Linked DNA regions of Notamacropus eugenii. The protein of the gene in region 1 interacts with the protein of each later gene in a pairwise test. Links are inferred from orthologs where the notes say so. Each region holds a gene or a part of one and is shown on either strand. Other genes may lie near its edges.

Region 1 (3,750 bases):
GTTAAATATCTCTGTTACACCATAAAGAAACAAATTAGTTTTGAACTTCTATGTTGCACAATTTTTAAATTAACAGAATGAAGACAGTGTAAAATAGTTTAAAATCTTTTGATGGGAAAAATGTCACTATACTATATTCTTTTTATCGCTGTTAGATCATATTAAGTGTCTCCCTAGAAAATTTACACAAAACACCTTGACCCAGGTCTTTAGTTTGCACATTCAATACTACACCACAGGATATTAGGTTCCAAAACATAGTATACATGTGTGTATGTACACACACACGATACTTTCATACAGTGATTTCCAGTTGGGTTAGTTAAGTCTAATAAAGCCATGCTAAAACTTTAAGTACAAAATCAATTCTATCACAGTTTGCATAGCAAAGTTTTTTTCATCCCATTCTCATTCAGGCTTGGATCATCCAGCCAGGAAGTTCAACAGTTTGGCTTTTCTTCCTTTTTGCAGCTCACATTCTGGGAATCTCACTGTTAGCACTTTTATGAAAAGAAGGAAAATATGAAATTAAGAACAATATACCAAGCTAATTTATCAGAAAGTTCAGGAGGGACACTGTTACTTGGAAGAACCAGAGGTACGAAGAACTGGGTTTAAATCCTACCTCTGGGTACTTAGAGGTAGTATAATACAGGGGAAAAAACACTGAATTTGGATACAGAGGATTAAGGTTCAAATTCTACCTATCACATTTACTACCTTGCAAGTCACTTAACCTCCATGGGCCTAATATCTCTCATCTGTAAAATGAATGGAGTTGTACTAGTCAACCTCTGAAGTCTCTTCCAGATCTGGGTCAATAATCCTATAACTCTTAACATCTCAGTGCTTCAGGAAACTGCCTGGGACTTTATTTGCTAAAGGTCCCTAGGCCTACTGCAAACACAAGAGCTCCTTCCCAAACCTACATATTGTTTAAAAAAATTCAATGACTAAAATGGAATGTCTTAGAAAGGAAAAATGAATACGTATGTAAGGATATAGCACTGATATCAGTGTACACAAATGTAATACATGCCAAATTGGGGAGTGGGGGAGGAACACCTTATACTTCAGCAATACAATTCTGAATATGTGATTCAAAGGTCTCCCTAATCAGGTCCCAATATAGCTTTCTATCCTGGTTTCCTACTACTTTTCTAATCCCCTCAAACTGGACTACTTCCTCAAACATATCCTAAGTTACCTTGCCTCTTATATTGTTGCACATGCAGTTTCATCTTCCTTTAAAGTCCTCCCTTTCCAAGTTCCACTTGTATAAACTCTGCATATCCTTCAAGAACCAGCTCAAATACAGTCAAGAGTGAACATTTCTTCTCTTAAGTCCCAAGGCATTTATCACACAGCAATAAATATCTATGTGTCACATCTAATAGACTGTAATCTCCTTTCAAATAGAGTTTGCACTGTTTTTTGTCTCCACACTTCCCTAGCTGCTCAGTGAATGTGCTTCATAAAACAAAAACACACAATAATTTTAAAAAGTTTTGTGAACCTATGCAAATTTTATTAAGGAGATACTTTTAAGAAAAACTGAATATAACATGCTATACAAAAATCAACCAAGAACATTAAACTCTTCTGTATTAAGAATTCGATATGACAAAAATTACCTAAGAATAACTGAATTTCACCTGGCCTTTCAACTATAGTTCAAGTTCTACACCTTTCCCTCTGCAGAAGACTGAAGTTTTGGCTCCCACGAGCCTAAATGTTAGGAGACAAAACAAACCTCACCAAGCACAAGACGGACGTAAGTAAACGACAGTAAGGGTCCTGTGCCCCCAAATTCCTGATAAATCACAATTTTAGCAAAGCAAAGAAACACAAAGGGACTTCCTAATGTTCAAAAACCAGACCTAAAAAGGTAAATTAGGGCCCACACAGGTAATCATATTCCTTTGCTCCATCACACCATCTTTTAAAAAGGCTCATTCCTTATAACTACTCATCTCCATTAGAGTGAACTTCTGGGGAGCAGGAACTGGGTTTTTTGCCATTCTTGGAGCCTGGCTCAAAGTAGGCGATTACTGCATGCCACTTGACTGATGTCCACCAGGCACCTACCGCCTTCGCACCCACCCTGGCAGGGCATCATCCATCTCCCAGACTAGCAATGACATCCCTAAACTGCGCTAGGTTCCCACCCGCCTACCTAGCCCCCTCCTCCCCGTCTGAGTGCCCCCAACAGCGTGCTCGGACCCCTGGACGGCGGAGAAAGGACGAATGCGGGCAGGAAGCGCGAGGTGGGGGGCGAGCGGGCGGGGGAAGGGACGCCCCAACAACGCCAAGCGACCCGCCAGAGTCCAAGGCTCCCCAGAACCCCTTCGGTCCCGCCCCCCGCTCGCTCCCTAAAGGTTTCAAGGGAGCGGACACGGGCAGGGACGGCCCTTCCTTTGCCCCTCTGGCCCCCGAACTGAACTCCGGCGTCGGGGGAAAACTTTCCCCGCCGCCCGCTTCCCCCGTCTCCTCTTTCCCCAGGGAGTCCGGGCAGGAGAGCGGGGAGGGGGCGCTGTCCTTCCCCGGCCCGCCCCCCCACCCCCCCCGCGCCCCGGCGGAGCTTCACTCACCCCCAGATCACATAGTTGGTCTTCACGTTCTTGGGCCAGGAGAACTCGCCAAAGATCACCTCGTCCCCCTTCACCACGATTTCCTTCTTCTGGATGTTGTACTGGCGCAGGACGCTCAGCACGTCCGCCATCTTCCCCCCCTGCGCCTCGGCCGCCGCCGCTACCTCGGCCGCGTCCTCTCCGCCGGCCCCACAGCCTCCGAGCCGCCTGGGCCGCCTGGGCCGCCTCCCTCCTCCGGGCTCCTTGCTCCTCCCGGCCGGCAGCCGGCAGCCGCCGTCACCAGTACGACGCACCAACAGGAGCGGCACTAACAGCCGCCCGCGAAGACGACGGCCCCAGACACCTAGGCAGCTGAGGACCCCGCGTTATCGGGCAAGGCCCCGCCGCCGGCTGCCCGAGCTGAACGCCTGAGCTCGAAGTGCCTCCGCTGCCGCTGCCGCCGCCGCCGCCGCCGCCACCGCGGTCCCGCTGCCGCCAGGGGGAGCCGAGGCCTCCCGAGAGAGGAGCTCGGCCAGACACGCACGCGGCGCCGCAGACCGCGCAATCCTCACACGCTCAGTCTAGACTGACCGGGGTACGCGCTTGTGATGCGCGTGCGCGTGCGGCCCGAGCGCACCCGGGCACAGCGCGCACAGCCACGCGCCGCTCAGAAAGCAGCCGACTTCGGGGCGTGGCTGACGCGCGGTACAGGCAGCTCTAGCCCACCTCGGCGCGGCGGCCCTCGCCGGGTCTTCAGATCTAGCCACTGTGCCGGTGGTGTTCTGGGCTTGCTAGGTGGCTGTGCCTGACTCCTCCGGGCTCATGCCTACTTCTGCTCTTTCTTACGACCTGTGGAGGCGCTTTTAATGTGCATGGCGCTCTCTTCGCCTGTGAATCCCACCTTGGGTGGGCTAGAAGCTCCAGGAGAGCTGGAGGCTGGTATCTTATTCCTAGAAGGATGAAGTCTCGTCCGCAAGCCTTCGGGAGAAAGGCGAAACGCAGTCCGGTTCTCTAGGAGTCGGCCAATCAGCAGTTGTTCAGCGGCTGCTGTCTGCCGGGCACTATGCCCATCGCTGGGTAGACCAGGGTTAAAAAAAGTCCCTTTCCTCCAGGAGTTCATGGTCTAACGCTGCAAAGAACTGTGCGCAAACAAGATACATGCGACAAAAACTGGAGATAA
Region 2 (3,750 bases), on another chromosome or scaffold:
GATGCTTCACTTGGTGATCACTGGTGTTTGGTCTGGATGGGATTGATGTAACATGGCTGAATTCTGGCCATGCTTTTAGATGAAGTATAATTAAGGTTCATATCTGTTATTGTTCAGTTGTGTCAGATTCTTCCTGAATCCTTTTTGGATTTCCTTGGCAAAGATATTGGAATGGCTTGTCATTTCCTTCTCCAACTCATTTTATAGATGAAAAACCTGAGGCCAACAGGATTAAATGTTTTGGCCAGGATTCCACAACTAAGTATCTGAGGTCAGATATGAACTCTTTAAGATGGAAGTTAAATCTGATTCCAGAAATGACACTCTATCCACTGCACCACCCAGCTGCTATTCAAATAACAGTAATAACAGACATATGAATAGCACTTAAGGGGGGCTTTGCTTTCTCTATCTCATTTAGGCTGTATTTCTGGTCTCATTTTTACAAATTAGGCAACTGAGGCACAGAGAGGTTAAATGACAGCCCAGGGGTGTGCAGTTTGGATTCAGTCAAAGAGTTGTACTTGAGGATGTAGGTTCCCCACCCCTTGGCTAGGCAAAGATGAAACATGGTTAAGTGTGGGTGGTATGATTCAAAGGAAGGTCTCCTGACTTCAGTGCCACACTGTGTACTTTACTAAATAGTAATTGTTTCTCTTCTACCTAGGAACCCTGAGAGTCTTCCCCTCCCAGTTTGATTATTTTTTTTTTTTTATTAAAGAAGCCTATTCAGTGAATGGGTGTATCTCACTCAAAGTAAGGATGTGGTAGGACCTTAGCCTGAAAGGGCCAGGTCTTCCATTGCGTCCTGGGCCATCTCCAGATGAAGATCAGGCCACTGGACCCAGAAGGCTCAGGAGAAGAAGGTGAGGTTGGTGACCTTACACAGCCCTCCCTCCCTCAAGTTAAAGTCAACTGCAAGTCATGTCATCCTCTTGACGTCAAGATCGTCTTCGAGAAGGAAAGACAAACACAACATCGGAAGCGTAGCCATCAGTGGGCAGAGCAGCGCGATCACAGGCAGCACCACGAGGTCTCCGAGAACAGCTCGCCTAATCTGCCGCAGCACCTGAGTCTCCGCCCCCTCCCCGACGCGGCCCCGCCCCGACGCGGCCCCGCCCCGACGCAGCCCCGCCCCGACGCGGCCCCGCCCCTCCCCAACTCCTCCACTCATTCAAGGTGGAGCCTCACGTGACGCCGCCGCGCAGGCGCAAACACTAGAGACCGCTGGCAGCGATGGGGGACGCTGCGGGAGTTACGGCGGGCGGGGAGGATACCTACCGGGTCAGTGAGGAGGCCCGAGGCGGCTCCGCATCTTTCCCTTTCTTTTCCAGAGCCTTACAGCTGTTTATATTGTTCCGTGTCCTAGGAGACGGGCTCCACATTTGAACTGCCGGGGAGCCCTGCGCTCGCGGCCCTCCCGCCGCCTTCCGGGCGTGTGTGTGTGTGGTGGGGGATGGGAGGCTGGGGAGCCCGGACCCCACTTCCTCCCGGCCTGGCCCTGGTGGCACCTTGGCGGAAGCCTTCCTCTTGTTTGGGGGTCCCCCCGCAAAACTGCCGTCCTCGTGTGGGGGGAGGGAGAAGGGGGCCGGGCCGGCTTGTCTTTGAAATCTTTGAAATGGGAGGGGGGCAAGGCTCGTTCTGGGCAGCCCCCTATTTGTATACTCTTCGAACCCCGTTTTCGTTTGACCTGTTGTTGCCGGGCATGATGCAAATAAGTTTACACCATGGCTTGGTGAAGCACACGGGTGGGAGTTGGATCCGTCTACACGGCATTCTGCGTTGATGTGGATACAAAGGGGCCTTAAAAGTTGAGCTGCCCTTTTCCCTGGTTCATCCTTTAAAGGCGCCCCAACGGTTGAGCTGCCCTTTTCCTGGCCCCTTAAAGTCTCCGCTTATCTTGGAATACCATAAAATACCGCAAAACTTCCCCCTTGTCCTTGGAATTCCTTGTCTCCCCTCCCCCGTCCTGGGTCATGAGATGCCCTTGTCTCCCTTATCCTGTCCTTATGAAAACAAGCCCCTGCCCCTCTGTAATTGCTAATCCTTCTTCCTGCTAAAAGCCGGCTGCTTTCACTGCAGTAAAGCTCCCAGTGGCTACAGAAGATTATGCACTTAAGTAGATTCTTTTTTTTCGAGACCCAGAGTGGAGGCCAGTTTGGGGCCTGATTTCTTAGGGGGGCAACCTAAGGCCATTCATGGGATTTTTGTACCAGAGAACACTTATACAGACTATGCATACATGCCATACTTCATGGGGTATTGTCATTTTTACAGTTGGGGGTGATGAGATGGGAAAAGTCATTCAAGAAATAGTTGTTAAACATCCAGAAAAGGAAGTGTTGATTACAGAGGGTTAGTTAACAGTCTATGACAGACCAATTGCCCTTTTTTGATAGGGTTACTGAACTGGGAGCTGAGGAGAATGCCATACAGGTCCTTTACATAGATTTTTAACAAAGTTGATATGCAGTATTTAATACTATTTATGTGGAGGAGATAAAGAGATGTACACTAGCTTATAGTACAATTGGATGGATTCAGAACTTGGGGGATAGCTGGAATTCATTTATCAGGAGGAGTTTTGTGATGTATTTTAAGCATCTGTCCTTAGCTTGGTCCTGTGACATTTCAGTCAATGACTTAGATAATAATACAGTATTCTTGTCCATTTGCAGGTGGTATAAAGCTGAGACGGGTAACTAACACAAGATAATAGAGTCAGTATCCGAAAAAAATCTTGACAGATTAGTAGAATAGCATCTAGTAAGATAAAATGCAATAGGGTTAAGTTTACAATTGTGTATTTGGGTACAGGAAATCAGCTTCACCAATACAAATTGGAAGAGGCATAGTTTTCAGTTTCAGAAAAGGTCTGGAGATTTTAATGGACTATTAAGTTTAATTTGAGTTAGCAGTAGTATATGGCAGTCCTCAGAGCCAAAAAGGGCTTGTGTTACATTAATAGAAACAGGCAAAAAGAGTAGATAATCCCACTAGACAGGTGGGTGGCAAAAGTGAATACAGTGCCTGATCTGGAGTCAGGAAGACTCATCTTCTGGAGTTCAAATATAATCTTAGACACTAACTAGTCAGTGTGACCCTGGGCAAGTCAATTAACCGTCTTTGCCTGTTTCTCTTTCTATAAACTGAGCTGGAGAAGGAAATGGCAAGCCACTCCAGTATCTTTGCCAAGAAAACCTCCAGTGGGATCCCGAAGAGTCAGACATGACTCAGCAATAACAATAACAATTCCACCGTATTCTGCCCTGTTTAGACTTACCTGGAACAGTATGTTCAGTTTTGAGAATTGCATTTTAAGAGGCTGTTGTTAAATTGAGGAATACTAAGAGGAAGGCGATAGAATACTAAACAGCCTTGAGTCTACATGATATGACAGTCTGTCAAAAGGACTGAGGATATTTAGATTAAAGGAGAGAAGACTCAAGGAGAACATGGTAGCTGTCCCTAAGTATTTGAAGAGTTATCATGTAGAAGAAGGATTAGATTTGTTCAGTTTTGTTCTGGAGGGCAGAGCCCCCAGGTGGTAGAAGTTACAAAGAAGCACATTAAGATTTGATGTCAGCACTGTTTTTTAAAAGTGTGATGAGGTTGTGGATTTTCCTTCCTAGAAGGTCTTCAAACATATGCTACATGACCTTTTGTCATGCATGTCTATAATGGGAATTCTTTTCAGGTATAGATTGGACCAGATGGTTACTGAGGTCTTTGCTCACCCTCAGGTTGTGT

Evidence for each region.
Region 2: the proteins of CDC73 (region 1) and HSF2BP interact in binary tests that used the Homo sapiens proteins (3 or more experiments, as listed by UniProt). The link is inferred for Notamacropus eugenii from reciprocal best matches to the Homo sapiens genes CDC73 and HSF2BP.

The regions. Positions count from the first base shown.
Region 1 is NC_092873.1:449,563,772-449,567,521, forward strand, and holds the start of CDC73 (parafibromin), read right to left. Parts: upstream 2,723-3,750; coding exon 2,592-2,722; intron 1-2,591.
Region 2 is NC_092876.1:415,254,207-415,257,956, forward strand, and holds the start of HSF2BP (heat shock factor 2-binding protein), read left to right. Parts: upstream 1-1,133; 5' UTR 1,134-1,236; coding exon 1,237-1,284; intron 1,285-3,750. UniProt on the Homo sapiens protein: Meiotic recombination factor component of recombination bridges involved in meiotic double-strand break repair.